Linked DNA regions of Rhinolophus ferrumequinum. The protein of the gene in region 4 interacts with the protein of the main gene of each other region in a biochemical or structural test. Links are inferred from orthologs where the notes say so. Each region holds a gene or a part of one and is shown on either strand. Other genes may lie near its edges.

Evidence for each region.
Region 1: the proteins of NRIP1 (region 4) and NR5A1 form a complex in vitro, tested with the Homo sapiens proteins (2 studies listed by BioGRID). The link is inferred for Rhinolophus ferrumequinum from reciprocal best matches to the Homo sapiens genes NRIP1 and NR5A1.
Region 2: the proteins of NRIP1 (region 4) and THRA form a complex in vitro, tested with the Homo sapiens proteins (4 studies listed by BioGRID). The link is inferred for Rhinolophus ferrumequinum from reciprocal best matches to the Homo sapiens genes NRIP1 and THRA.
Region 3: the proteins of NRIP1 (region 4) and AHR form a complex in vitro, tested with the Homo sapiens proteins (2 studies listed by BioGRID). The link is inferred for Rhinolophus ferrumequinum from reciprocal best matches to the Homo sapiens genes NRIP1 and AHR.

Annotation. Positions count from the first base shown.
Region 1 is NC_046295.1:74,340,962-74,347,926, forward strand, and holds the start of NR5A1 (steroidogenic factor 1), read right to left. Parts: upstream 3,022-6,965; 5' UTR 3,014-3,021; coding exon 2,912-3,013; intron 2,785-2,911; coding exon 2,643-2,784; intron 654-2,642; coding exon 28-653; intron 1-27. Other genes in the region: translation initiation factor IF-2-like, read left to right, coding at 3,509-3,606, 3,739-4,774. UniProt on the Homo sapiens protein: Transcriptional activator. Essential for sexual differentiation and formation of the primary steroidogenic tissues. Binds to the Ad4 site found in the promoter region of steroidogenic P450 genes such as CYP11A, CYP11B and CYP21B.
Region 2 is NC_046304.1:36,563,720-36,571,422, reverse strand, and holds the start of THRA (thyroid hormone receptor alpha), read right to left. Parts: upstream 3,002-7,703; 5' UTR 2,800-3,001; intron 2,617-2,799; exon of another isoform or gene 2,460-2,616; intron 1-2,459.
Region 3 is NC_046303.1:21,923,141-21,930,734, forward strand, and holds the start of AHR (aryl hydrocarbon receptor), read right to left. Parts: upstream 3,001-7,594; 5' UTR 2,343-3,000; coding exon 2,278-2,342; intron 1-2,277. UniProt on the Homo sapiens protein: Ligand-activated transcription factor that enables cells to adapt to changing conditions by sensing compounds from the environment, diet, microbiome and cellular metabolism, and which plays important roles in development, immunity and cancer.
Region 4 is NC_046285.1:11,293,685-11,300,707, reverse strand, and holds the start of NRIP1 (nuclear receptor-interacting protein 1), read right to left. Parts: upstream 3,019-7,023; 5' UTR 2,708-3,018; exon of another isoform or gene 2,547-2,707; intron 1,913-2,546; exon of another isoform or gene 1,722-1,912; intron 1,498-1,721; exon of another isoform or gene 1,172-1,497; intron 1-1,171. UniProt on the Homo sapiens protein: Modulates transcriptional activation by steroid receptors such as NR3C1, NR3C2 and ESR1. Also modulates transcriptional repression by nuclear hormone receptors.

The DNA.
Region 1 (6,965 bases), on a different chromosome or scaffold from region 4:
GCCAGCCAGGTAGGAGGAGGTACTCACCTCCAGCTCCTTGAAGACCATGCACCTGCGTGCCCAGTCCACGATGGAAATGAAGGTCTGGTCAGCCATCCTGCACAGGAGGCTGAAGGCCGCAGGCTGGTCCGGGCGGCCTTTGGCCGGTTCTTGCAGGCAGCCCACGATGCGCGCCCGTACCTGGTCCTCGTCCGGCTCCAGCTGCAGCAGCTGCAGGATGAGCTCGGGAACGCCAGGCCCTCCAGAGAAGGGCTCTGGGTAGCCGTAGGGTGGCCCAGGCTGCGGTGGGCTGGCGTAGGGCTCTGGGTACTCAGACTTGATGGCACGGCCGGGGAAGGCAGGATAGAGGTAGCCGGCCAGGGGCCCGTGGGTGCCAGGCACAGCCATGGGCAGTGCTGGGGCCCCAAAGTCGCCTAGTGGCCCAGAAGGTGGACCAGAAGCCAGGCCCTTGGGCTCTGGCGCATGCAGGCCAGGGGGCAGCATGTAGTCCGGTGGGGGAGGGGGTGGTGGGGGTACCCCCACGGGGGAGCCTGTCTCTAGCTTGAAGCCATTGGCTCGAATCTGTGCCTTCTTCTGCTGCTTCAGGGCCCGGTCCCGCTTGTACATGGGCCCAAACTTGTTCCGGCCGCCCCGCATGCGGTCAGCACGCACAGCTGTGGACAGAGGCAAGGGTCAGGCTCACCCCCTCCAAACCACCCTCTGTACTGCCCCACGCACAGATCTTTCCCAAACAGATCTAACTGTGATACGCGTTCGTGGCTCCTAAGTCAATACGCTTTCATGGCTCCCTCTGCGTTAGGTGAAGTCAGTCTCCTTAGCCGGGCGCCCAAGGCCTTGTCTCCCTCATGAGACCCTGTGTTCTTTCCACTCCACCTTCCTCATCTCTCTGCTCCTCTTCGTCTTTACCCTGCCTTTGATATTCCTTCTGCCTCCAACCCTTTCCTTCTCTTCTGCCTGCTGAACACGCAGCCCTCAGATCACCACTTCCATGAAGTATTCTTGGATTCACCCAGGCAGAATCCACTGTCCTTGCTCGAGATGTCCTGCCTCTTGCCCACTCTCACCCCGCTGAACGGTACCATGCCATGTGACCCAGGCTGAGAGCTTCTGGGGGCTCACCAATAGGTTCAGGTTGGGCACAGGGCATGGCAGGGAGATGGAGGTAGGAAGTGGGCCCCAAACAGCCTTGTTCACACCTGGGTCCCAATATCTAGCTGTTTACTGACTGTCAAAACCCTGTTGCAAAATGACTCAAATTTGCCTTCAAATTTGAACCTGAGTTTAGAGTTAGCTCAGGCTCTGTGCTGGGGGAAGGAACCCCTTGCTGACCAGATGTCTCTCTGCCTGGCCACGAATATGTCACCAATTAGACCCAAATGTTGCATCTCTGCAGCTGCAGTGTGGCCCCAGCCCCTATTCAGACAGTACCCTATCCTGAGCTCCAGGAGAAGGAAGAGTAAGAGGAAGAGGGCAACACTCAGCAAGGGACGTGTCTTGGGGCGCCTGCCCGGCCAAGCTTCCTGCCACAGGGGTGGGTTGCCCTCCTCAGAAAGCTCAGGCCCCACTAGGGGCTTATGCTGCTCACAATAACCATCTCTCCTGGCCCCTGGGGACCTGGATCTGGGGACATGGGCTCTGGAGACAGGCCAGGAGACCTCCATCCAGGAGTCCTTCCTCTGTGGCAGAACTTGTGGTCTGCAGCTCTCCTTCTATGTTGTTTAAAAACTTTAGCCATCAGCTGCCTGCTCAGTGCAAAGCCCAGCTGGGGCCCCCAGGGTGGAAGCCTATGACTGTCCACCCTCAAAGAGCTTGAGTCTTTCCTCCCTCTGGACTGAGGGCTGAGGGTAGGGAGGCAAGAATGGGCCTGAGTCCTGTGGGGGAGATTGTTCCCCAGGCCCAAGCCCTCAGGGTCTGGCTAAAAACAGGGTGGGAATTCTTGCCTACTGAGTGAATCCTCTGGATGGATGAACACATGAACAGATGGGTAGGCTGGATGAGTGAGGGCTGCGCAGTGATGGTGGATAGATAACATCGTAAAGAATCTTGATAATAATAAAGCTAACCCGTTGAGCATTTACTGTTTGCCAGGTATGATATTAGGAGCTTTTCATACAATTCTCTCACTAACTCAATGAGGAAGGCACTGCGACGAAGCCCATTTTTCAGATGGGGAATCTGCAGCTCAGAGCTTAAGGAACTTGCTTAATGTCGCCCAGCCGGTAAGTGGTGGCACTGGAACTTGAACTCCAGTAAAGGTATTGAGCAGCCAAGAGGACTTGCTCTGGCTGGTGCTAGATGTCAGTGGGGGTGTTGCAGAACTTTTCACAGAGGGAAGAGCTCTGCAGGGCTCTGCCCAGTGCAGCCCACCCCGCCCAAGGGCTGGGGAGAGGCTCATCTTTCTGGGGTCCACTTTCACATACTTCTCAGCTCAACCCAGGCTGGGCCTGCACACATCCCTCACCTGGGCCGGACCGAGGCCAGTTTTTACCCCTGTCCGGCAGAGATCCGCTGGACTGTCACGTGAGGGGCCAACCACCGGGCCCCAGAAAGCGGCGCCCTCCCTTCTCTCCTGTCTCACTCCACCCCCTACACTCGCTCTGTCGGAGGTCAGGGGTCGGAGGTCCGCAGCGCGGCGCGCGCACCTTCCAGGCGCATCCCCACCGTCAGGCACTTCTGGAAGCGGCAGAAGGGACAGCGCTTGCGCTGCGTCTTGTCGATCTTGCAGCTCTGGCTCTCGGTGCACGTGTAGTGCTTGTTGTTCTGCACCGTGCGCTTGAAGAAGCCCTAGGGAGAGGGGAGTCAGCGTGGTGGGGGGCGACCCTTCTCTACCTCCTGGCAGGGCTTTGCCCCGCATTCCCCTGCGCTCGCCTCCCCGCCCCGCGCTTTTCTTGCCGGCCGGCGGCCCGCTCACCTTGCAGCTCTCGCATGTGAGCAGCCCGTAGTGGTAGCCCGACACTTTGTCCCCACACACGGGACACAGCTCGTCCAGGTCCTCGTCGTACGAATAGTCCATGCCCGCGGCGTCCGTCTGCGGAGGGAGGAAGGAGTCAGGTCAACGCAGGTGGGACGGCGACTGGCAGCGCCGCAGACCTGAGTCCCGGGGGTGCTGCAGCACCGCGGCCGCGCGCTCACGGCGCCCTCCTCCTGCCCGGCCTGTGGCCCCTGGGACAACGCCCTGGGCTAAGCCGCCCGAGGCAGGCCACCCATTAGAGCGCCCTGCGCGCCCCGCGCCGGCCTCTCCTTCCCGGTCCCCGTGGCTGCCTCGCGCTCCCCTCCCCAACTGGGGGCTCCTCCCTCGCTGCCCCCGCCGAGCCCCAGCGCGGACCCTCGCATTCGATGTGTTTCCATCCAGATTCGTTCATCAGAGAACAAAACCCCGATTCTGAGAAAATGAGATGGGCTCGGCAGCGCGGGAGATGCCAATGAACCCGGACGCAGTGGGGCCCGAGTGTTTTGGGATCTGACAGGGACGAGGGACACAGGCACACAGTTTGGGAGAGACAGAGAGATGGGCCGAGACGAGAGCGAGAGACACGGACCCGCGCTGCTTAACGGAGAGAGGACCCCCAGGATGACAGACACGAAAATCCTAGTGACAGAGACCCAGTGATGCCGAGTCAGAGAAAACCTGGAGAGACGAGAAAGACGTAGAGGCAGAGACAACGAAACAGAGAAAGAGAGAGCAGAGACACTGAGAGACAGAGGCTAAACGAGAAAACCTGGGAGAGACGGACGCAGAACCAGAGACATAGTGACAGATGAGACACGCCGAGAGCCAAGAGAAACCTGGAGAGACGGAGGAGCCCAGCCAGGTGGTCGGGACCTGAAGCCGCACGGAAAACGGCCGATCGGAGCCCGAGCTCCGAGGCGGGGCCCCGCGAAGTCAGACCCAGACGGGAACTCGAGCCGAGAGGGATGGAAAACGACGGCGCCCGGGACAGAGGGCCCAAAGGCCGGGAGAGACAAAGCCCGAGGCAGCGACGGCGACGGGAGGCGCAGCCCGTGCCACCGAGCCCGAGACGTCGGGCGGAGAGACGAAGAGAGGGCGCAGAAGAGACAGCGGGCGCCGGGCGGGGAGCCGCAGGCCCGGCGCCAGGCGCAGAGACCTCGGGCGGAGACCCCGCGGGCTCCCGGAGGCCGAGCCCAAGGCGGTGGAACGACCTCGGGCAGAGAGTCGAAGTCCCACGGAGGGAAGCGCGCAGAGCCCGGACCGGGAAGCAAGAAGGGGCGCGACGGCGGCCGCGGCCCGCGCGGCGCCCACCTGGCTGCTCCTGCGAGCAGCAGCGCCCGCGTCCCGCCCGCGCCGAGTCCCGCACCTCCCGGCCGCGCCGCCGCCGCCGCCGGCGATGAGCCGCACCCGGGCGCAGCGCCGCCCGCCCGCGATGACAGCCGCTCGGGCCGGGGGCGGGGAGGCGGGGGCGCGGGGCCTCGGCGCTCCCCCCACAGGCGCCTCCCCGCCCCCGCCGCCTCCAGGGCTGCTCCACCGCGCACCTGGGACCCGGGCCCCTCCGCCGCTAGTGCGCGCCGAGCGAACCAGCCGCCCCGGGCCCAAAGCCGGCCCCTCTATATCGGCGCGTGCTGTATCCGGGGGCGGAGGCCAGGCCGGCGTCCTCCCCACCCCAGGCTTGGCCCGCGCCCTCCCCCGCCACCTAGCCGGGCTCGCGCCTTTACCCTAACCCTCTGGGCGCACCCCCCACCCCAAGCCCCAACCCGCCCCCACCGCGGAGCCCCAGCGGCTCCGCATCAGGCAGGTGCTGGGCGCCTGGGAGCCTAGGGCCACCGGCCGGTGGTGGGAGGAAGAGAGCCCGTTTGCCAATTCAGCTTAGTGGGGGCGAGGGCCACACTAGGGGCGCTAGTCGTTTTGCAGCGTGGAGGTGGGTAAGGCCGAACGTTGGGGGCCGTGGCCAAGGCACCAGTTCAAGTCTCACTGGAAGCTTAAGCACACCTCCCGCCTCTCCGGTCCTCAGTTTGCTCATCTGTGAAGTGGGACTGATGATTGGCCTTCCTTGAGGATGGTCGTTCGGATGAACCGCAGTGGTGATGACAAAGCACGTGCGTGTACTGCGAGGCGATCAGTAGTGTCCATCCATGAGACCTGGGCAAACCCTTTCTCCTCGGTGGGCCTCGGTTTGCTCGGCTGGAAATGGGGATCGTGGTCATCCCACCCTGCGAGTTTTCCGAGGTTTGGTGAGGACCCGAAGCCAACGAGGGTGCGGGAGCTGGGAGTCGAGAGCCCGGGGCAGGAGAAACCCCTCCCCGCTCTGGTTCTGCGCTCCAACGGGTCTGGGGGCAGGGGAAAGGAGAGGCTGGCAGCCCTGGGCACAAGCGGTTCCCTGGGCGGGGACGGGCTGAGCTCTCGCTCTGCCGGGTCACTGTCGTGTTTTTTTTTTTCAGATGAAGCTGAGACGCAGGAGAAGAGGGCCGTCTGGCATCCTGCGGCTCCCCACCCCCTTCGGGCACCTAGGGTATAGTAGATTGTTGAGAGCAGCGAGACTAAGATGGGAAATAGAGCAATTAATTATGAATCTGCTGCGACGCAACCGACCCAAAGGCCCAGATCTGAAGGCTCGGACCCTTGGCTGCAGCCGGCTTCATCTGGGCCCCAGATAGAAGGCCTCCTGCTTTGGTTGGAGCTGGGGCCTTGATCTTGCGAGCCCAGGGGCCGAGGGCCAGGCGGAAGACTCCTCACAGACCACTCCTCATCTCTCTCAGCCGGCGGGCGGAATAACGGGCAGAATCTGCCTGGGATTTGCTGTGCAAGTTCGGGCAGGTCACTTAGCTTCTGTGACCCTCAGTTTCTCCGTATATGACATGAAAAAGAGGGGCCCTCCCTACATAAGGGGTTCTGCGGTTTCCAAGAGATTCTGTGGTTGAATCTTGGTGAAGAGGGAGGACAGAGAGCCAGAAGCACAGTTAGTTGCAGACTCCTCTACCCCTAGGCCCTGAGAAAGAACAGCATTTGCCAGAGCTGGAGGTGGGGGGGTCTACTGTCTCTTAACATCAGGGAGGGGCCCTCAGAAAGTGGAAAACAGGAGCAGCACCTCCTCTGCAGGGGGAGTGAAAGAGATTGAGGGGGACAGCTGGGCAGGGGGTCTCCTTTTGGCTTCTCTAGGGTAAAGCCCACTGGGGTCCCCTGGACATTGTTGAGGAAGACCCAGGGTATAAATAGAGCCCGGGCTGGGAGGCCAGGTGAGGAGGGGACGGGGCTGTGAGCCAGTCCTCCCCTTCTTCCTCCTCCTCAACCCTCCTCTTCCCCAGGGGTACTTGGGTTGACCCTCCAGGTTCCATTGCAGTCGCCTTTCAGCCTCAGGTTCCAGCTCATGAGGGGAATCACAGCCCCTCACGTACCTGCCCAGGGAAGCAAACATTGACCTGGCCCAGCCACAGACCCCAGACTGACAGATGGACACTGAAGACAGGGAATCCACAGAGACTCAGAGACACGCACAGAGACAGCAAAGATGCAGGCAGGGAAACCAGGGACGATGGACACACACACAGACTACCAGACTTGGGTCAACACAGCCCTGTGAACACTGCCCCCCCTCAATAGACAGCAGGACACCCCAGACCCCATTGAGTCTGTCCCCATAGGCCTAGTTCCTCCCATCAGCCGTCTCGGGAAAAGGGGGGTTACATGATGGGAGGGCAGGTCTGGGGAGATCCCCGGCCCCTTCTCTGCCCAGAGCAGCGGGCACCCGTCACCCAGTAGAGCAGGCAGTGGCCAGCCCAGGCCGCAGGGAGGCACTGAGGAGGGAGGCTGGCCATTAGAGGCCTGGGCCCAGGCCCTCACTTACGGAGCGGAAGGCGAGCTCTCACGCTGGATGAGGGTGGGCAGGGGGCACCGGGGGTCCGAGGGGAGGCTCCGGCAGCCCAGGTTGGGCAGTGGTGACGCTGGGCACACGGAACTCCTTCACGCCACGGCGGGCGGCGGGCGGACAGTAGGCTGGCTCTGTCCAACCGTC
Region 2 (7,703 bases), on a different chromosome or scaffold from region 4:
AGTGGGTGAGTGTGGAAGGGAGCTCCTCACTGGCTTGGTTAGGAGCTAGTTGGATGTGGCCTGCACATCCAGCTTCCACTGGTCTGGTGTCTCCTGGCAGAGCCTGCCAGCCTGAGAGGTCAGCATGGGCAGTTGGTGACCCCTTTCCCTTCCCCCCTTTCCCAGCCCCCAAAACTTGCTGGCCTGCAGCTGCAGCACTGAGGAAGTGCAGGATGTCCTGAACAGCCAGCTGAGCCCCCCGCCCCCCACCCCAACCTCTCGATGACCCCAGAGACAGGGCAGGCGGGGACTGGGGGGCGGGGTTTGAGTATTAACAACCGGAAAACTATGAAGAACATCACTGCCAGTTCCCAGCTCAGAAAGGAGGTTGTGGCAGAAACAGACAAGAACAGGGGTAGACAGGGGTAGCGACAGGGTGAGAGTTATAGTCTGGCAGAGAAACAAGGAGAGGGAATCAGACACAGCAAGACAGAGCAACAGAGAGACAGCGTTAGAGAGAAATTCCAAGTCAAAAATACACATCACTCACCCAGACACTCACCAGCATACGGCCTCCTAAGGAAAGCTTCCAAGTTTAGACAGGAGGGCAGAGGTGGGAAAAGGAGCCAGACTCAGGGTGAGAGGCAGGAACTCAGCTGGGGGTGAGTGAAAGGCCCCCAGAAAAGGCTCAGACAAATGACTCCAGCAGGGGCAGCTAGATCTGCCCCACCATTTGTTTTTAGGGTGGGGATAAGGACTGCAGCACCCACTCCCTCAGCAGCCAGGATAATCCCAGCTGCTGGAAGTCACTGGACACTGCTTCAGGCCTGTGATTCGGCCCTCTGGAACCCCCCTGCCCCTACTCTTTGCTCTAGTTTCTCTGTCCCTTAAAAAAAAAAAAAAAAAGCTGAGCCTGGAGGAAGAAGACAGAAGGAAACTTAAGGGAAAAAGTCCATGACTATGTGTGCATCTAGGGGTGTGCGTCTGGAGTTGTCTGGACACCACTGTCGACCTGGACCTGTGACTGTGGACCTGCGCCTTGTGAACACCTTCTGCACCTGAGTCCCTGGGACTGTGTGCAAATCAGTGCACCTGTGTCCGGAGTTCCCACAGTCAATCCATTAACAAGTATTTACAGAGCACTTCCTGTGCTAGGCTCTGGGTGGGATCCAGCACTCTTGGAGTGATTCTGCCAGGTCTCAAGCTCACTATCTAGTAGGGTGGGATAACAAGCAACGGAGAACATTATCACAAATGCATGCCTTGCACCATTACGCAGGAAAGTCTTTTCACACAAATTTAATTTCCTTGGGAGCAGGGGTTTTGTTGTATACAGAACCTCAGAGATCCACAGTAGAAGTCCAGGAAAATACTTGTTGCTAAGTTGTGTATACATGTGTTGATGTGTAACTACGTTTGCATTTGACTGAGTAACAGCGACTGTCACGGCAGGCGTTGATGCCTGTGTGACTGGGCTCATGCAAGCACGTGTGTGCCTGTGAGTGACAGGGTCTTTTGTAATGTGCGGCGGTGTGCAATTGCTCTGTGTTCATGTATGCATGCGATAGTGACTTTTTCTGTGTGGGTGACAGCGACTCCTCCTTGCCCCTGTGTGTGACAGCGTCTCCGTGTGACCCTGTGCGTAGGTATGTGCATGGGTCGGTCTCCCGTGGGTGTGTCCCATCCCTCTGAGCTCCCCAGTGCAGCAGCAGCCTGCCACTTCCCTTGTTCCCATGTGGGTGTGTCCAGTAGCTCCTGTCCTTGAGTACGCCTGGGTGTCCCTGGGTGTGCATGTGGCTGTCTATGTGGGCATATCTTGGTGTCTGCATGTCACATTTGCTTCCCTTCTCATCTTGGACAACAGTCCCCTTCATCCCTTCCCCCTCCTGGGGCCAGAGCCATCATTGAGGGGTGGGCTACCATCCCACTGGCTGCCCTCCTTCGACCTCCACCCCTGGAAACAGTGGCTCTCTCCATTGCCCCTATCACTGCCCCCCTCCCCAGGCCTTTCTTTCACACGGGACAAGGGAGGGCCCCAGACAGAGAAGGGGCACCAGAGGAGACACGTTGCAAGGGGAGGGGAAAAGGGGGGGTACACACAACACAGGTCCCTTCCTCCCTCTCTTCCCCAACCACCCTAGCTTGCAACTCTAATCATCTGGGGACCCTCAAATACACTCCCCCCCAACACACACACATACACACACACACACCTCCACCCCACCCCCAGCCGCGTTTTTTGCAATTAGGAGTGTTGCAACCAGAGAGCCATGCTCAACTGGGGAGGCGGGTGGAGGGGGGGGCTTCCCTCTCCCGGGACCCTTGCAAGCCCACTCCCCACGCCACACGTACTGCCCTCCGCAGCTGGAGGCAGCTTTGCAAAGGCCACTCGGCCTCGGCCTGGAAGGCTAGGGGTGGGGGCTGAGGGGCAGGCCTCCCGCGCACCGTAAACAAACCGCGGCGCGGCGCGGCGGGCGGGGGCGCTCGGCGGCCGGCAGCGGGGCCGGGCCCGGGAATGCGCAGCAGACGGGCCGGACAGAGGCCGGGCGGGCCCTCGAGGGGGAGGCCTGGACGCCATCTCCGCCGGCGAACCCTGGGGCCCACCGACCTCCTAGCAACACCTCCCTTCCTCAGGGCGTAAGTTGCAAGCTCCCGGGTTGTGACAGGGTCTCAGGGGCGTCGGGGGCAGGCTAAGGTTGGCGGCGGGTCCCCCCCGGACGCCCCCAGCCCGCCGGGAGCTGGCCAGAGAGCCCTGTGGCTTTGCATAATCAATCGTGAGGTATTTGCATATTAATACCCCCCTCGCTCCCTCCCCCTTACCTCGGCGTGGCGCGCTGGACAGGGCTGGAGAGCGACGCGGGGTCTCAGCGCCCCGTGCCGGGGGCGTCCATGGGGGGCCGGTGGGGCCCGGGCCGCCCGCCTCCTGCGCCCGGGTGTGAGTGCGAGTGAGCGCGGGGGGGCGGGGGGCGAGTGTGGCGGCCCCGCGGCTCCTCCGGCAGAGGCGGCGGCCGCTCTTGGCTCCTCCCTCCCCCGCCCCGCTCCGGCTGGGGCTCTTGCTCGGCGCGCCCGGCCGGCTCGCGGCTGCTCCCTGCAGGCCGCCTTGCCGCCGCCGACCCGCGCCCCCCGCCCCCCGCCGCGCCCCGGGACCCCGGCCAGCCAGCCGCCCGGCCGCCCCTCGGCCGCCTCTACACCCGCCCAGCTCGGACTCGCCCTCCCCACTCCAGGCGTCTCCGGCAGGAGTGATACTGGGTGACATATTTTGAAAAAGATGTCATTTAAAAAATAGTCTTCAGTTGCTGGAAGAATGGAAGGTTTTGGTGTTTGCACCATGGGGATGGAGAAGGGAGTATTGACGAGACGCCTGCACCTTATAAGTAGGGCGAAAGTCTAAATACCAAACCCTTGGAGGTTTCGAGTTTGTTTCTGAGTTCGGGTCTCTTCTCTGCCAGTAACTCACTGTGTGACCTTGAGCAAATCACCCCTGCTGTCGGGGGCAGAGCTTCCTCAACCTTAAAATACCAGGGTTCGGCAGGTGACCCCTGAGGTCCTTTTAACTTCAATCATCTATGTTTTAAATTCTTTTGGAGTTTTACTCGCCATTACTCGCCATTTACTCGCTTCCTTCCCCTCTCATTTCTAACATCATTACCTGATCCACTGCCTCCCCTTTCAAATGTCACCCTATTTCAATATAGGCTCTTTTTATTCACTGTCATCAGCCATTTCCTCAACAATCTGGTCCTCTTGCTCGGCTGGGGAGGGGGCAAGACTTGCTCTACCCCATCAACTCTCAGCTTCACAGAGGTGGTATTTCCTTCCATGTTTACCCCCACCAAAATCCAAATGGTATCAGGGCCAATTTAAGGAAGGCAGCCTGCATAAAAATGGATGCCCTTCCCCTACCATCCAGCTCCCACCCACCCCATTGCACACACACACACCTGCACTCATGGACATAAAACCATCCCAGTGACGCCAGAGCCCCTTTCATCTCGGGATCTCCGAGCGCCAGGCAGAGCTCTAATTACCCCAGCACCCCCTCTGGCCCCGCCGGTTCCCCTGCTGTCATTAGCCCAGTTTTACCAGCGGGGGCCACAGCCTTCCCACGGCTTTCAGGGCTGGGCCCTGTTTCCACAGTCTGCTGTTGGAGTGTGTGTGTGTGTGTGTGTGTGTGTGTGTGTGTGTGTGTGTATGTGAAGGGGGAGCTGTTCTACAAAAATCACTTGCTAAGTGTGGGGCTTCTGACCAACAGCCTATCTGAGTTGGGCTGCCCTGGTTCATCTCAGTCTCAGCCACCTGCATCCTCATCTCTGTTGCAGCCACTTCGCTTACAGGGGGCATTGGGGTCTACCGTGCATGGGGAGGGGATGGAGCATCTCTTGGGACCCGCTGGAATCATGGGGATGAGAAGCATCGCTGGGATGAAAGCCTGGGGCTGCAGAGTGGAGTGCTGGTGATGAGGGGTATGCCATGGGTGAAGGGAGCCTGCAGTGTGGAGTTGTGGCAGCTGCAGTAGGGAATGGAGGCTGCAGTATGCAGAGTCAGCATGCAGTCAGTGAACCTGTGGGTTCGGCCTGGGCTCACAGTGGACATGCAACAGCTGCAGCGTGGGGCAGAAGGCTGCAGCGTGCAGTGTGAGGTGCATTGAGGGTAGCTATCTGCCCTTGATACCACCTCCTGGGTGATCGGGTTTCGCTGAAACCCTGGGGAGCAAAGCTGTGGTGTGCAGCGTTCAGGGTGCACGCTCTACCCTGTGTGGAAATAGTCTCTTGAGATTGGGCAGCCCAAGGAGTCGGGGGAGAGAATCCCAAAGCATGGGATACATTTATGCTCTGCATCAATCAGGCAGAACCAGGAGGCAATGGAGAGGTCTAGCTGTCATCTAATTAGGGCAGGGTGACTGAGTCCCGAGGGAAGATGACAGTACTATGGTTTTGTCTCCCCTCCATTCTGGCTTCCCCTACCACATCTCTCTATGACGAAAGGCCTTAAAGATACTGGGTGAAGGAGACTTTTTGAAATCCTAGACCCAGAGCCATAGAAAATGAAATACCTCCTGATCTACCTTTTTTTTTTTTTTTTACCCCAAAGGCACAGTGGGGCACCTTGAACTCAAAGACAAGTGTTCACCATTCCTATCTTCTCCTTACCTCTCTCCCTGTCCTTGGCTCCCAATAAGGGCTGCTAACAGACCTGGGCAAGGGCAAAGTGAAGGGCACACTGCCTCTAAAGTAGACATTTGGCCAGATGCCAGGTCCCAGCCCAGGTCCGGGCTTATAGCCCCTGTCCCTGTGTTTCATGGCCCTTTCCACCCCTACCTACGCCCCAATTCTTGAAGTTTCTAGCTCTTCTCAGAGTCATTTCATCTCCAGCTCCTCTTCTTTCCTTACCATGAAATCCTCACCTGGGCTGTCTCCTCCCATCCCCCCACCTCTGCTTCAGGGCTGTCTATTGGGAGAACAGGAAGGTGGGGCACAAGTGAGGATGGATAGAGACCCTCCAAGGGGATATGCTTGGCAGCCCCCTCCCTCTTATATTTTCGTTGCCATGGAGGCAGCAGGAACAGCCTGTTCTCTGGGCTCCCATCAGAGCAGCTATGCCCAGGCCCCTCCCTCTCTTCCTTCTTCCTTTTCTCCCTCCCAGACTGTTGCTAGGAAGCACCCCAAGATTTCTCGAGGGCCCCACCCCTAGAAACCAGGGATCTAGATATCTTTCTGAAGAACTTCCCCCAAAAGCCTTGAAGCCAAGACCCCACACAGCATGCTCCTCTCTTGCCAAGAAGCCCCAGGCAGTTTGGGGAAACAAGGGATAGGCCCTCAACCAGCCTGTCTGGGCACTAGCTCTGTGGCCTGGGCCTCAACAATTCCACTCCCTGAACTCATTTTGACCTCCTGGATGGTGGCAGCAAGTGATAAGCTGTCCAGCAGAGACCCCTTGACTCTGCAGACACAGCCCCACTTATTGGGGAGTTCTGGGAAGACAGCAGAGGAAACTAAGGTACCGCCAGCTAAGAGAATTTAAAACCCAGGTGTTTCTTCCCCCTTAGTGATCTCTCAATCAAGAAAAGATGGTGGAAATAAAGGAAAGAAAGAGGGGACAGTTTATGGGAGCTAGGGATCAAGTGGCTGGCAGAGATGAGAGACAGCCTGGGGAATTAGCAAATAGTTGCACTGCTAAAAGTAAAGTAGACACTTTAATGCCCTCTCATCAATCATCTTTATCCTATCAGATACCCTGGTTATGGGTCACAAAAAAGGGAGCCAGGTAAGGGACTCAGGCCAGGCTGAGCCTGGCTTTTGGTAGCTGAGGCAAGAAGTGGGAAAAGTTGACACCTTCTCCATGACGTCTTTCAGGATTTCTCCTGCTTTTATTCATTCATTTGACACTTTTTTTTTTTTTGAGCATTTAATATGTGCCAGGTATTGGATCCCCTAAAGTTCCCAGCTTCTGGTTTCACTCCCACACAGAACCTGCTCATCCAGCCTTTGCCAAGAGGAGAGAGGAGGGAGGAGGTAAGGGACTATCTTCTTTACCGTAGAGTTTGGGTCTTACCATACCGCAGCCCTCCCCATCCAGTTAAAGGACACGTGGGCCAGGCTGGTATGGAGGCCAAGAGTATAGAGTGGCTCTCAGGACCTGGTGGGAGGGGCAATGCGAAGGAATGGCAGGCTGGCCTCCTTCTCTGCCACTGTCCAGGCCTAAGGATCATAGTATCTCTTTTCTCTGCGCTGGGAGTATGGAGAGGGAAGGTGTCCTTCAGGGTGTTAGAAAACTACTCCAAGGATGGTTCAAATTCTGCCTTTTACTGTTCTGGCTGGTCTTTTTCTTGACTTCTTGTGAGGTCAGTGGGAAGACAGAGATAGGAAACTGTAGGGGATGCAGGGCTGTTCCTGAGTTGGGGCCACCATGTAGGTCTCTCCCCCATCCTCCCTCCCTCCCCCAGATAGATAGAAAGCAGGGATTTTGATGTAGGGACTGGTGGGGCGAGGGAACTGCTTTGGAGCCAGCTGTTGTATGAGTGCGTGGGAATGACTCTCTTTCCCCATCCATCTGCTGCCAATTAACTCCCCACAGTGGGGGGACCCAGGCAAGCTTCCAAAAGAAAATATTCCATTAGGGGAGGAGACTGACTCAGTTTCCCTCTGTGCCTTATATGTTTGCCAAGTATTTCAGTGTTTCTGGATCTAGACTCTTACCACTTGTCCTTATACTTCTTTCTAGCCTAGATAAGGAATGTCTCCAACCCCTTGAGTACCAAAAACCCTGTTCCTCACAGCCTCTTACTCCACCCCAAGCCTATTCTAGCCTTTTCTGCTAGAAACTTTTCAGTGTTGCCATGTCACTACCTGCCTGGCTTCCATCTGCCCCTCTTCTCCAGCCAGACCCCTTTCCCAGCAAGACCAGCCAACATGATGAGGAGGTTGGGGCTCAGGGATAAGAGAGCAGAGGTGGGAGCTCAGCATCTACCAGCGCTGAGGGAGAAGAAACAGACAGCAAAAGGAAGTGGAGTGAAAGGGGGTTTTGAGAGGGACACTTTCTGGGGAGAGTTTCCCTGCACATCCGAAGGGGATATCAGCATCTCTTCTCTCATGCACTGGAGGATTATCATGGAGTCCCACCCTTGTGGGGAAGCCAGAGAGCTTGTGGGTCCTAAGAAGCTACTGTGGTGTGGAGGGAAGAGGTGGTGCATGGAAAGGCTGTCTCTGATATTTACAGACTAGAAG
Region 3 (7,594 bases), on a different chromosome or scaffold from region 4:
AAATTTTATAGAACTATATATTTAGATGGCTGTCTTATCAACAGCTCTATAATTATGCTACAACATATTCTCTCTTTAAGTAAAATAAAATAGCTTTCACTTAAGAGGTCAAAGTTAAATCTCAAAAGCATTTTCAGTGCAAAGATGTGTTTTTCTGACAATGTTGGCATTATTTTAGACCCCATTAGCTACAAATAGTAATTTAACTTAAAAATATCCATGTTAAACTTAATATTAGATTTTATGGCCGCATTCCTAAAATGAACTTTAATTAACTGCATTATAAAGCTAACCGTTTTTCACTCAGGCAAAACTAATTTGTAAACAATTTCATGTGATTCTGTAAATGCCAGCACTAGGCTTTTCTTATGGAGCAATGAAGTGACATTTTAAGGCATTTATATGATTAGAAGCAATGCATGGTGCACAATAAATATCTGATAAACATCTATACTAAATAAAATAAAATAGGGGTAATGTGGAAAATGCTTTAGCAACACTGTATTACAAGAGATTATTACATGCAACTTTATTAAAGTCTTAGGAAATATATTAAAATATTAAGATAAAAGATACAGCTTACATAAAAATAAAAGGAAAATGCAGTATGTGTAAAGGGAAGATCTTTAATAAAATGTTATCTATAAGTCAAAAATGTTAAACTTTATAAAAATGAATACAAAAATAAGGTATATGACTTTTTTTTTTAAGTCATCTAAGCCTTTTTGTAACACACGACAAAAAAAATCAGTAACTTAAAAATCCACTAGGGAGATCTCCAAGTTTTCTGACTATATATAAAAAAAGTCCATGATGTCTCTATTATAAATTATGGTAAGTGTGCTACTGTATTAATAAATACATAGAATAGGCATTTGCAATGCCTCTCAACTTTAGCCATCAAGGACAAAGCCAAATTAGACAAATCACTCTACTTTTGCTAGTTTGTAAATCAATGTCCCAGAACTGCCAAGACAAAAAATTGCTGACTCGGCAGTATTCCTGTCAGCCACTCTGCAGCATAAGACTTCTAAATTTTAATCAGTCGATTTTATAGATGAATATCCTCTGTTAACGCCAAGTCTAGACCTGAATGCTCTTCAATATGCTCTTCATATTGAAATTCTAAAAGAAAGTTAAAACTCCAGAATAATTAAACTCTTACACCAGTTGGCGGATTTAAATATAAAGCTTAAACTACTTTTCTGGTTTGGATTCGTGGTCTAAGTTAAGTTTTAGGCAAAATGCACACTTCTAGTTTGCTCTGAGTAAATCTGTAATGTGTTCTTAAAATTGTTTATGAAAATTTGAAAAACGTGAAGTAACTCAGAGATAACAAGGAATAAACACATGAATACAGCCAACTCACAAAAGTAAATCTGTCTCAACCAGGATTTATTGTTCTGAAAAAAATTATTTTAAAGTATTTGCTATCTCACACAAATATCCCACCAAGGCAAACAAAAAAATCTGTCTGGAATCGCTCCATTAGAACTGACAAAACTTTGAAGTAGGGGGAAAAGGGAATTAGAGAAAGATATCAAGAATGAAAACGTCTGTTTCACTAAGTCCAGTTCCAAATCTGTTTTGTACTGTACAGACCCTAAAACCACCGCAAAAGCGGGAACTCCCCAAAAAGATAGCTGAAAAATCGAATCCCCCCACTGGACCTTGCCCACCAGACTCACTCACACCTGCTACCATCTCTATACAGTTTACCGATACGGCCATCTGGAGCCCTACAAAATCACTGCCAAATAAGTAAACAAAAGTGCAACGAAATGCCAATTACACCTGACCAAGAAATACCTTCAGAAGCACTTGAGCTCCCTTCTTGCAGTGGCACACGGTCAGCTCTTTAAAACACCTCGCTTTACCAGGAATGAGAATTATGACCGTCCTCTAACCGTAGAGGTTATTAAACATGGAAGGGGATTTCAAGAGGGGTTTATGCTAAATAAGCCACCAGCCCCACAGGGCAGACCAGAGCTGTCAACAAATTAGGACCACAGAAAACAGCTGCAAATGGCCGGGGGTGTGAGAGGGTTCGTGCGCGCCGGGGACGGGGGTCATTTTTTAACATACAATAAAAAATGGGGGAAAGAAATCTAAGGCCTGGGTCGCTCGACCCGCCCCCAAATCTCGATTCCACCGCTCGTGTCAGGAATGGACCTAATCCCCAGACCTCGGGGATTTGGGGGCGGGGTGGGGCCGCCTCTCGCCCCCGCGCGCCTGAGCGCCCAGCCCCCGCACCGAGGGCGAGCTCCGGACACTCACGTTTTCTGCACGGGCTTCCGCCGCTTGCGACTGGCGTAGGTGATGTTGGCGCCGTTGCCGTTCATGGTGCCCAACCGCGGGCGGCTCCTCCCCGGGAGCGGGCGCAGACGGCCGGGGCTCCGGGACCCGCCTGTGGCTGGGACGGCCGCGGCGGCCGGCGCCCGGCTCCACGAAGCCGCGCCCGCCTCACCTGCGTCCTCCCGGAGCGGCGGGAAGACACCGCGCCCTCTCAGCCTCGGCTCCCGCAGCCCCCGCGTCCAGGTGCGCCGCCGGGCCTGGCTCCTGGCGGGCGGCGGGCGGAGACCGGTGAGAGACGCAGCGCAGGTGCCGTCTACAGCCGCGGAGGCGGCGCGGCGCTGCCCCGCAGGTGAGGCGGGCCGGGCCGAGGAGGAGCCTGGGTCGCCTGTTTGGAATGCCGGCCCGGATCGCGCACGGTGGCGCCGCGCCCCGTGACCGTCGTCGCGGGTCCTTGGGTAAGGGAGGCGCCGCCGCGCTGCTCCCGGGGCTTCCCCAATCCTGGGTGCTTCCCGCCTGTGGAGCTCGAGCTCTGGACGCCACTCCCGGTGCCACCAGCTTCCGCTCGGCTATGCAGCTGCGCCTGGTCTGAGCCGGTGGTCCCGGGCACGCGCCCGGGACAGAATGTCAAGTGGACCTTCCCGGCGTGTCCTCCTATCGCTGAGCGCACCAGCTTAATTGCAGAAGTGCCCCCGACCTCTCTCTCTAGAGCCGCCCAGCCCCTTCTAGCCCCGCCCCACCCAACTTGGCCCCGCCCTTCACCCCCTCCCTTGAGGGCCCCACCTTCTCAGCACGTAGTGACGTAAGACGTAACGATGTCTCTCCGTAGCCATCTTCTTGAGGTCAAGGGGAGGATTCTGTGGCCACATTTCGAGCCTGGAAAGAAATGTGACAACAAATTACATATAGCCAAGTTCTTCATAGCTATACTGTCTAAAGGATAGACATGGCAAATAGTGAGCTTAACTTCACCTATATGAGAGACAGTGACTCAGCTAACTTTTGGCTAGGATTTACAGTAAACTGGCAGATAACCTGTGGGCCTCAATTTTCCTAGAGGGGAAGGCTTCAGAAGCCCACATTTGAGTTGGAATTTGAAAGCTGGCAGTTTCCTTGGCTTTTTCTTTTTCTTTTTTTCGTTTTTTGTTTTTTTGGTGTTTTTTTTTTTTTTTTTTGGTCTGTGTACTAGACAATATCTTTTTCCTAGCCAGAATAACTTTGTTTCAATTAGGTTGAAAAGAAGGAAGCAAGGAAGAAGGGAAGCATGAGGCATTGGAACATAATAAGTAGTGTGGTATGGTTGGACAGAGGAGCTAGAAGTGCAGTTCAGGAATTTAGGATCAAATCATAAAGCCTTGGTAAAGAGTCTAAATTTTATTCTGTAGGCAATGAAAGCCTTTTAGATACTTACTAGGAGATTGACTTTCTGGTGTCTTGGAAAAGTCACCCTGGGAGGAAAGTGCAAACCAGATTGATTACAAGGAGATCAAGATTTGATGCGGTGAGAGTAGTTAGGAGCTTGTTGAAATAATCCAGTGCAAGTCCACGGAAGTGGCAGTGGAATGGAGAAAAGAGAGAAAATACAGATGATAGAAAAGGATAAGGAAATAGGGGAAGAGAGAGTAATCTCAAATTTTTCCAGGATTTTTGACTCTTTCTGTGTGGTTAACTGTATATTTGTGTGTCAGGAGCAGAAGGGCATCCAGATCAAGATATCTGGGTGACATCTCATACCACATCCATTCCTACATTTTAAAATGTCTTCAAGCCGTTTCCACCTGGTCAGTTTGTTACTGCAAATTCAGTGCATCAATAAATTAACTCATCATTTTCTTTAGCTGAAACTTTTTCATTGGTGTTACCATTTTCCCGATCGACCTATGAATCATTTTCAATTCTGCTACCACTTATATATAAATACCCCAGCAAAAACTATTAAATTTTGTTATTTGCAATATCCCTAATTCATTTACCTCCACCTTATTCTTCAATAATACCAGCTCAAATGCCATACCATTCAGGATTCCTCACCTGATATCCCCTCTACACATTAATTCAATCAATAGATGTTTGCGGGGGAACTCCAATGTGCCAGGAATTGTGGGGAGACCATGGTGAACAAATCAGAAATTTACCATGCTCTTGGGGAATACTGTAATGGAGAAGTACATGATTCAGTATGATTTTCTAGTAGATAAATCTGACCTACTCATTGAAGCAAAGGTAGGCTTTCCCTTAAAAAATGATGATTGAGCTGAGGTCTGAAGGATAAAGTAGGCTATCGTAGGAGAAAGGAAGGGAAAGCAAGAACATTCCAAGCCAATGAAATAGTACAAGCAACATCCCTTTAATGAGAAGGAGGGCAGGTATGAAGGATTAAAACAAGTTCAGTATGATCAGCAGAGACAGGCACAAATGATCAAATTTGTGTTTCAAAAATATCACCATATCTGCAGGGTGTAGAACAAATTAAAGAGGGAGCAACAGAGTGGAATGGATAAAAGTAACACTCCTCAGGAAACCATTTGCGGTAGCCCAACCAAGAGATGACAATTATTGATACTAGGATGGGTGATTGTGGAAATGGAGAAAACTGAATAGATTCCATAGATATTTGGGAGGTCTTCGAAAATGGAGTGTATTTATGACAGTGAGGGAAGAGGACATGTCAAAAACATAATAATAGTTTTCTGGATTATGTATCTAGCTATGTGACAATGGCATGTACTAGTGGGAAATTAACTTAGCTTTGGATCTCATGTTTGAGGTACCTTTGAGACATCGAAGAGAAGATATTAAGTAGACCATAGAATATACAGGTTTGTAACAAAGATGTATAAGCTTGAGACAAATTCAGAAGTCATTGGCATTTAGGTGCTGAGAGCATGGAAATTGTAGGGTGTGAATATATACTGGAAAAGAAGTATGGAACCCCAAAGAACTTCAATATGTACTATTAGCTGGATAGAAGAAGTTTATGGTCCTGTAAAACTGATTGTAAAGATTTGCTAGAATGGTAACAGAAGAGTAAGGGGACTATTGTGTCATGGAGGAAAAGGTAGAGAAATGTCAGGAGTGGCTAACAGTATTGAATGCTGTTGAGAGGTTCAAATAAGATGAGAACTGAAAATGTCTTTTTTGGCTTCTCAACGTGGGGTCATTGGTGACTTCTGTGAATACTATGTTGGTGGACTAATGGACCTGCAAGTCTGACTGAAGTGGGTACAGAATTGAATTGAAGATGAAATGACATTGGCAAACACAATTTCTTTTTTGAAAATTTGGGCTGTGAAAGAGTGAGACCTAGGATGGTAGCTAGGGGGAGTAAAGAGTTAAACTAGATTTTTTTTTTTTTTTTTTTTTTTTTTTTAATGCGTGATGCTTAAATAGTTGAGGGAGACTGACTGTAAGAAAGACAAGGAGCAGAAAAGGAACCATAGATATTAAAAACAGGAGGGAATAAGTGCCAAAGCAGAAATAGAGAATTAGGATTATAGTAGATTAGATAATAGCAGAAATAGACTCTCTAGTGCTTTACTCTTCAAAGTGGTCCACAGCTTCTCATGGGAGTGATAAGAAATGCAGAATCTCTGGGTGTCCTTACTGAGTCATAGTCTAAATTTAACAGGGTCTCCTAGGTGATTCAAATGTACCTAAAGTTTGCGGAGAACTCCTCTACAAAAGCTGGGGAAGAGGAGAATGGTGGGTGAGATGTCGTAGGCTAGTAATTTAGGATCAGAAAGATAAAGGAGATGTGATGAGGAGGGTGTTACAACATGAGCTACAAAGGAATAGTGTGTTTTGTGGTTGATGGGTTGATGGCTTTTGTTTTAATTTTACAGGACCATAAAGTAAAAGGGTTCTGGGAAGTGGCAACAGGGAACTAGGTGGACATCAACCCTGTATCATGGATGTGTGATGAGAGAAAATAATTAGGCACCATTTGGGAGAACTCTTAGGAAAATGATAGCCTCAGAGAGAGCCAGATTTTAGTATGTATGAAGTCTCATCAATCAACCTTATAATAATTCAGTGTTGTTGCGGTTTTTTTTTAAGTCCACTTTTTTTTTTATTCAAGTTTATTGGAGTGACAATTGTTTGTAAAGTTACATAATTTCAGGTGTACAATTCTGTAATACATCATCTATACATCACATTGTGTGTTCACCACTTCAGAGTCAGTTCTCCTTCCATCACCATATATTTGATACTGTTTACCATCACCTACCACGCCACTCCCCCCTTACCCTCTGGTAACCACTAAATTATTCTCAGTGTCTATGAGTTTTTGTTTCTTCATTTGTTTGTCTTGTTCCTTTGTTGTTTTCAGTTTTATATGTCACATATCAGTGAAATCATATGGTTCTCAACTTCTTCTGTCTGATTTATTTCACTTAGAATAATAATCTCAAGATCCATCCATGTTGTCACAAATGGTACTATTTCATCTTTTCTGATGGCAGAATAGTATTCTATTGTGTATATACCACATCTTCTTTATCCAGTCATCTATCGAAGGACACTTTGGTTGGTTCCATGTCTTGGCCACTGTAATTAAATCCACCTTTTTAAAGGTTTTTGGTTATTTGGTACAATCATTCTCTTATTTTGTTCTACTTACATACCCTTATATTCTGTTTGACTTTAAGATTATTTTCATTATCCAGAAATCATATAATGCTTTGTTATATTCCATTCTTAGTTAAGTAATGAATCTTTGTATAACCAAGATTAAAATAGAATGTTGATAAGATTTTTAGAATTCATTTTATTCTAATAGTGACACCATACACTTCCCTTAACATTTTTGCTTAGTGTGTCAATAAAATTAATCGTTGTAGTATAGTGACTTGCCACTTTCTAGAAACTATCACTCTCTACTCCTAATATCAGCATTATAGAACATAGTTTTCGAGGTGTGATTCGTGGCCATCGCTAAATTTTTAAATTTTTTATTAGCAATTTTTATGTAGTAACATGAGTTTTTTTCCTTATAACAATTAATTTGCCTATAAAAGTTTAAGAATATTTGACTTGCCTTATCAAAAGCAATGTTATCCTTTTATTTAGTTGAGGTGAGATTGCTTTCTGAGGTTTCAGATGCCGAAGTATGTCTATGGGTTCCTTATTCCTGCTAAATATTATGAAAAAAAGAAATACATTTTAGCAATGCTGTTATAAATAGCTGTTCTAGAATAAAGAAATACAATCAGAATGAATGCTATACCTATTCTGTCACAGTACATGCATTCATTCATTTCATTCAGCAAAGTGTTTTAGTTCCTATCATATACTAAACACT
Region 4 (7,023 bases):
AGTAACAATCCTACAGCCTACAGTGGCTGTTCCATTGACTGCCTCTTCTTTGTCTCCAGGAACTAATTGCAGGCAGAGAAAAGTTACTACTGGTCATGAATCCACTAGTCTCTGAACCAGTTAAACCCAATCCACATTACCAAATGGCTGAGCAAAACCAGTACAACTTACTTCGAAGGAAAAATATTTCAACATCTTCCAGGCAGCAACCCACACTTAGGTGCCAAGCAGTTGAAGCACCATTTGTTTAAAACGTCCACTTACTTCAGTGTCTCTTCAACAAAGGTAGCAAACTGGTGATTAAACATTGAATAATTACATCAGGAAGATGCCACCCACTTGCTAAACCTATGATTCACTAATAAGCAGGTTCAACGCAATTCATAACTTTAAAGAATGAATTACCAAAGCCCTTTACTTCAGAAATGCCTCCCCAAAAATGTAAAGAGAATTTATCATATAAAAACTGACAATCATTTTTCCTTTGGACATCTATAGACAATCTTCCTTCCCTTAAAGACAGTTTTTCCTGTACAATCTCACATTTAATCTTCTACATTACTGGAAACAAACTCCAACTCAGTTCCACCAAGTGAGTGAAAAGTCCTTGGAGCTGGGAATTTTTTTTTTTTTTTTTTTTTGCCTCCAAATAAAATGTCCTATTAAAAAATATTTTAAAAACTCAAAAGTATTTATCATTCTGTTACTTTACTATCCCCAGAAGCCTATTAAGTCACTAATGGGACAGAAGGTAGAAACTCCCGTAATGCTTCAGAGATCAACATGTGTCACTGACTCCCAGCTCGTTCGCCTCTCAGGCACAGTTGATTCCTTTGTTCCTTCAGACTGAACACCAACCAACTCTTGATGAAAATTTGTCAACTATTTTGGAAAGAATGGGAGGGTTTGTGGAATATTTCCAGGGAAACCCTTCATAAAACAACAACAATCACTAGTAGTAAGGAGAACATAGATGAAGGGGGAGAGAAAAGAAGGCTCCCAAGATCTCCACGGGCTCACCCTAAATGTGAGTCCGTTTTCTGGCTCAGGGGTAAAGCTGATGGTTGAGGCCTCGGGTCCAGGGCGCTCGCACTCGGGAGGGGGAAGGACAGTGCCGACGGGCCGCGCGTGGGGCTGGGGGTCTGGGAGCGCTGTCCCTTTTCCTACTCACTTTTCCTGGCCGGGAATCAGGCAAGCTCAGAGCAGGGAGGCACCGGGCGATAGGCGGGGAGCGGCGCCCGGCGCCGCCCAGGACGCCCCGGGCAGCAGGACCTACAGCTGCGCGGCGAGAAGCGCCCCAGACTCGGGGCCGAGGGGGCAGCCGAGCGGGGCGCGACCCCGGCCCGGTCCCCCGCGTCTGGCCGGGCTCGCAGGGCACACGGCCGCCCTTCGACCCAGGACTGGCACAGCTCGGCCAGTGAGCCCCGGGCCAACTCCACAACTTGCCGGCCCCGCTGCCCGGGCCCCCCGAGGTCCCGGGGAGATTCGGAGCCGGCAGAAGAGGCGGGATTCCCCCGGAAACGATTCCTCCCCGCCGCCGAGCCCTCCCCGCTGTCTGCATTCGCTCTCGCCGCGGGTCGCGCTGGCCTCGCCGCCCCGACGCCCCCGCGGCCCTGCCCGCCAACGCCGCCGCCGCCGCCGCCGCGGGCCGCGCTCCCGAGCCGTTTCCGGCGGCGCCGCCGGCCGCTCCTCCGAGCCCCCCGGCTGCGGCCGCCACTCACCCGAGGCCGCCGCGGCTCCGAGCTTCGGGCTCCGTCAGGCTCACTCCACGAAGGCGCCCTGCCGCCCCGTCCTCCCTCGGCGCCCGGGCGAGCTCTTCCCTCCGAGCCGCAGCGCTGCCAAGCGCAGCGGCGGACGCGAGGCCACGGGCGGGCGCGCGCGGGCGGGCGTGGGGCCGGGTCGTCCCTCCGCCTCGCGGCCGCCTCCTCCTCCTCCTTCTCCGCTGCCGCCGCCGCCGCCTCCCGAGTTCGGGGCTCTGCTGCAATGTCTGCGAGGCTGACTTTGAGCGCCTCACTCGCCGCCCGCCCGCAGCCGCGCTCCTCCCTCCGCCGCCGAGTCCGCCGCGGCCCAGTCCCTCCCCTCGCCGCTCCACGCCATTCAGCTCCTCAGCCAAGTTTCTTAACCCTTTTTTCCCCCTCCCTCCCATTGTCACGGGGCCGGAGGAAGCCACGCGGGTCCCGGCCGCTCACGGGAGCTGAGGAGCCCCCTCTGTTGTGTTGTTTTCCTCCTTGCCCGCCCTCCGAACGGCCGGGCGGGGGCTGTAGGGCCCCGAGGCAGCGGGAGGACCGCGGTGGCCGGGAGAGATGGGCGCCTCTCGCACCCGAGCCGTCCCCCGGGCTCCCGGCTCTGTCCAGCCGCCCCCGACTGCCGAAGGCGCCTGGACAGCTCCTCCCTGGGGCCCGGGGCGTCGTTCTCGTTACACAGGCCAAAGGCTCGCGTTTGGGGCACAGCCTGGGGGCCGGGACGCCCAGGGTCCCCGCCTGGGTGCTGGCGCCTCCTCCCATTTCACCCAACAGCACGCGTTCCCTTGGCTCCCTCTCACTCACCCCCAACTTCACCACCTTGTGATCTGTGTGTCCTGCTTTAATCTTAGGGGGACAGGGTGGACGGGCACTAACTCCAGGTCACTTTGACCCCACGCCCAGCACGTAGTAGGCACCCAGGAATAAATGCGGAGTGATTCCAAGAGGAAAACTGGGAAGGAGACCTGAGGAGTGTCCCGTTCAGCTCCTTGGACGGACGAAGGACCCAGGAGCAGGGTTTTATCTTCAGCTGCTTTGTCACTGCGAAGTCACCAGCGGAGTCTTGTCAGCGAATATACTCATCCCCGGGAAGAGTTTGACCCTGCCAGACAAGGCGAAAGGAACAAGGCTGCCACTTCTTCGGCAGCTCTCCACGGTTCAGTCTCGGAATAAGAAATAACAATTACATCACGAGGCCCGGGCGGCAGCGCTGTGGAGCCTCTGGGTTTCCTGCAGCCTAATCTCGCTGAACCCGCCTCTAAATTGAGGGAATATGGATTGGTGAAGAGAGAAAGTGGAGGGAGGAGAGATCATAATTTCTCCCTTCTTGTATTTGCTGTTATAAAATCTTATCCTCAACGCTCCCCAAACATCTAACTATAACTATTAACACCCCCTCAACACCTCCCCAGATGTCAGGTTTCTTTTTGACTCTAGCATCTAGCATTTAGTAACTCGCCAGGAAAAAAAAAAAAGACGAGGGGGAAATGAGTGCTGTTGCTGAAATTGTTTTTGCTTGATATAGAAACACCAAAGTACGGCTTAAAGCCTCACCCTAAACTCCGAAATGGCATGCCTGTGTTATCACACTTATTACACAAAACAAATGAGGCACTCCGTTTTTATATGTAGGTTTTCATATCCTTTAGAATCATATAGCTTTTGAAAATAGAGTTGCTAGTGTGCTTAAAAAGAACTATGCAAGTCATAAAACAGTATTCTATGCCTGTTATGTAATGGCTGTATTGTGCATTTAAAATTTCATTTATGCTTTAAAAATATGAATGAGAGTTTTGGAATATCTTCACAATCTTAAAAGTGAAAGCAGTTTTTCAAATTAATGCTTAATAAATCCAGCACCTAGTACATAGTAGGGCTAGGCACATAGTAGGACTACTCTGCTTAATGGTGATGGTGAATTTTAGAACAATCTTTTACATCACCTAGTGATTCAACTGCAATCTGTTGTGATCCTATATAGTTTAATTCTCATATGATAGCTTATTATTTGCATATACCGCAGTTTGAAAGCTGCTCAAGGGAACTTAGTGCTAAGTCTGCTGTTGTATAGTACATCCTTCATCCAGGAGTGATGCAAACTGTTCAAATTAAGTGAGGATCAGCATAATTAGAGCTTGGCCCTCTAAGGCGTCACTTTATTTTTTTAATTCTTTTTAACTTGTACAAAGATTTTATAACATGTATCATCAATGTTTCTCTTAAGCAATTTACTGGACTTCCTTTGGCTTTTTCTTGAAAATTCAGGGTTAATTTTATAAAAAGTATTTATCGTAGTAGGTTCTACTGCATTCAACAAATACATCAAGTTCCCATTCAATGTGCGCTAAGGCTTCTTCCTAGGTGTTAGGGATGCTTCCAGAAGGTATGTGAGCTACCAATGGCTACAGGAAAGGACTCTAGGACACTGACCTAGTGATTATCTCTGCCTTTTATAGTTCCTCTCTCTCCCCCTTCACTAACCAACAATCTGTTGTCCTTTCTGTGTTGCCAGCACACGTCTGTCGCTGATATTCTCTTCCTCTTCCGATTTGCAGCTTCTAGTCTGCTGCAGACTGGGAAATCCAGATAGCCTCACTTGTCACAATTCAATGTAAAGTAAAACTAAATAGGTTCTGTGCAGCTCACCAAGGAGTAAGGCAGGTGAACCTTAGTGCATAGACTTTGGGATAGATATCTGGACTGCTCAAATGTTGCTTTGAAAAACATTTTTTTTTTCCTTCCTAACTAGGTTTTGGATCATTGAGATTGGTAGATAAACAACCTCCTAATGCGTGAGGTTACACAATTAACCCAACAAGCCAAGCATTAGTCCTGCCCTTCAACACTCGTGTAAAAAACCCTACTGCCACTTGTCACATGACTTAACAGCGCCATTCACCTCTTATTATTAATCTATCCTCTCAACTCCACAGAAATCCAATCACTGAAATCCTGATCTCTTTTTGATAGTGCATTAATGTTAAGTAAATTGCACACCTTTTGTGGAATTCATTTTTACTTAATCATGCTAATTGGAGCCATTTTGTTACTGTTCTTTGTTTTTAAAAAAATTAATACCTGAATTTTCTGGCTAGGAGAGTCATTGCAAGGATACTGGGGCATATGTGTAACATAAGAATGCCTGTTCAGTAATTTGTATTTTTAAAAATTTTTTTCAATTACAGTTGCCATTCAACATTCAATATTATGTTAGTTTCAGGTGTACTGCGTAGTGGTTAGACAGTTATATAGTTTACAAAGTGATCCCTCTGATAAGTCTAGTACCCCCCTAACACCATATACAGTTATAATGTTATTGACCATATTCCCTATGCTGTACTTTACATCCCCATGACTATTTTGTAACTGCCAATTTATACTTCTTAATCCCTTCACTTGTTTGACCCAGGCTCCCAACCCCCTCCCAGTAATTTGTGTTTTAAAGACAATTCTCATTTTAACCAGTGGTGATGTGAAAAAGATGTCCTTCAGTTTATATACCTAAAAACATAAGTATTTTGTGAACCAAGGGTTCCTAAGGGATCAAATACTTATAGTACAGGCTCACTATGTTTATCCACAAAGAAGTAGTCTGGGAGAGCTTTGTATATATGTGCTCCCTGATCTCTCCTATAAGAGCATTTTCCACATCATTTTGTGACCTGGTGTTTACATGTCTGTATCCCACTCTAAATGCAAACACTACAGTCGCAGGGTCCATATCCCTCTCGTTCACATTTGGATACCTCGACCACCTATCACTGTGCTCAGCAAACAGTAGGCATTTCGTAGATATTGGGCAAGATACTGTCTTATCCCAGAGAACAGAGTGTTTATTTCTACTTGGGGTGCAGGTGTGGAACAAGGGAGTTCAGAGAAAATTTTACAGAGAAAATAATGCTTCAACTGACTATTAAAAGGTAAGAAGAATTTGCCAAGTAGGCAAAGTGGGAAAGGGGTTCTCAGGAGAGGGCAAACACCGTTTAAAAGTAGAACAGTGTGAAGAAAACAAAAATATATATTCAGAAGTATTGAACCCACATTATAAACTTTGAACTAGTGACTAATGAACTATGACAACTGACAAAAATATATACAAGTACAGGTCGAATTCCAGTGTAGTCACGCTGATGTAGTTAGTCTCAGCCTCGAGAGAAGCACAGTTTAATAAAAATATAGACTGAGCCACAAATGTAAGCTACATATGTACTTTTAAATTTTCTAGTAGCTACATTTCAAAATACAAATAAAAAGGTAAAATTAAGTTTAATAACATACTTTATTTAATCCAATATGTCAAAAGTATTATTTCAATGTGTACACAACATAAAAATTATTCATTAGATATTTTGTATTCTTTTATTTACACCAAGTTTTCAAACTCCAGTGTGGCTTTTACACCTATAGCACATCTCGATTTGGACTAGTCACATTCAAATGCTCAATGGCCACATGTAGCTAATTGCTGCTGTGTTGGACAGCACAGCTTTAGAGAATGAATGAAATCTTGAATAGTACCGTTAAAGGACATTTTTAAAAATGAAAACCTAAATCTTGTTAAACCTCAGGTTTTATTTGTTGGTTACTGGTGTTTACCTATACTATGTTATAAAGACTACTTTCTTGCATCTAGGCTTTTATGCCAATTAGAGAAGCAGCAACGTTTATATTTTATGTACTGTGTACTCATTAACCATATTGTAGATACAACTACTGTCTCCAGTAACTCTGGTGGTGGACTAAAAATGTAAACTGGCTATATGGCAGAAATAAAGCACTATACATTTGGGGTTGAATAAGCTTTTAAAAAAATGGTCTTCCCTAGAACACAGAACTACCACTATGCTAATTCCTGTCAAGCATCTTCCTGGATAAAGAGGCCCAGGGTTTTGCTCTTCAAGTCTCCCTACCCAGTTACTTGAGGACTGTAAATTCCACCCCATCGTTTGTTTGAGGCAGTCACCTGCTGGAAGCTGCAGCAGTTAGGATGTGCTGCAGTGCCCTGAGTACTGAGAAAGGTCTAAGGAGCTAAAATAAAGATGTTTAGACACCCTGTCTGCAGGTTACTATGCAGTTTTCCCTAATGAGATTGGAGCCTTTTACTTTCAGTGGGGCTTGAGTGCCAAGAACTGGCAAAACCAGGGCACTCAATTTCTACACTAAAATAAATCCTGAAAACTGGATCTTAAAAAAAAGTCTGAAAATAGAGTGGTCGTTATAACAGTATAGCTAAACACCACTAACCAACAGAAACCAGCCGAAAGTGTGTGAGAAAAAGGCA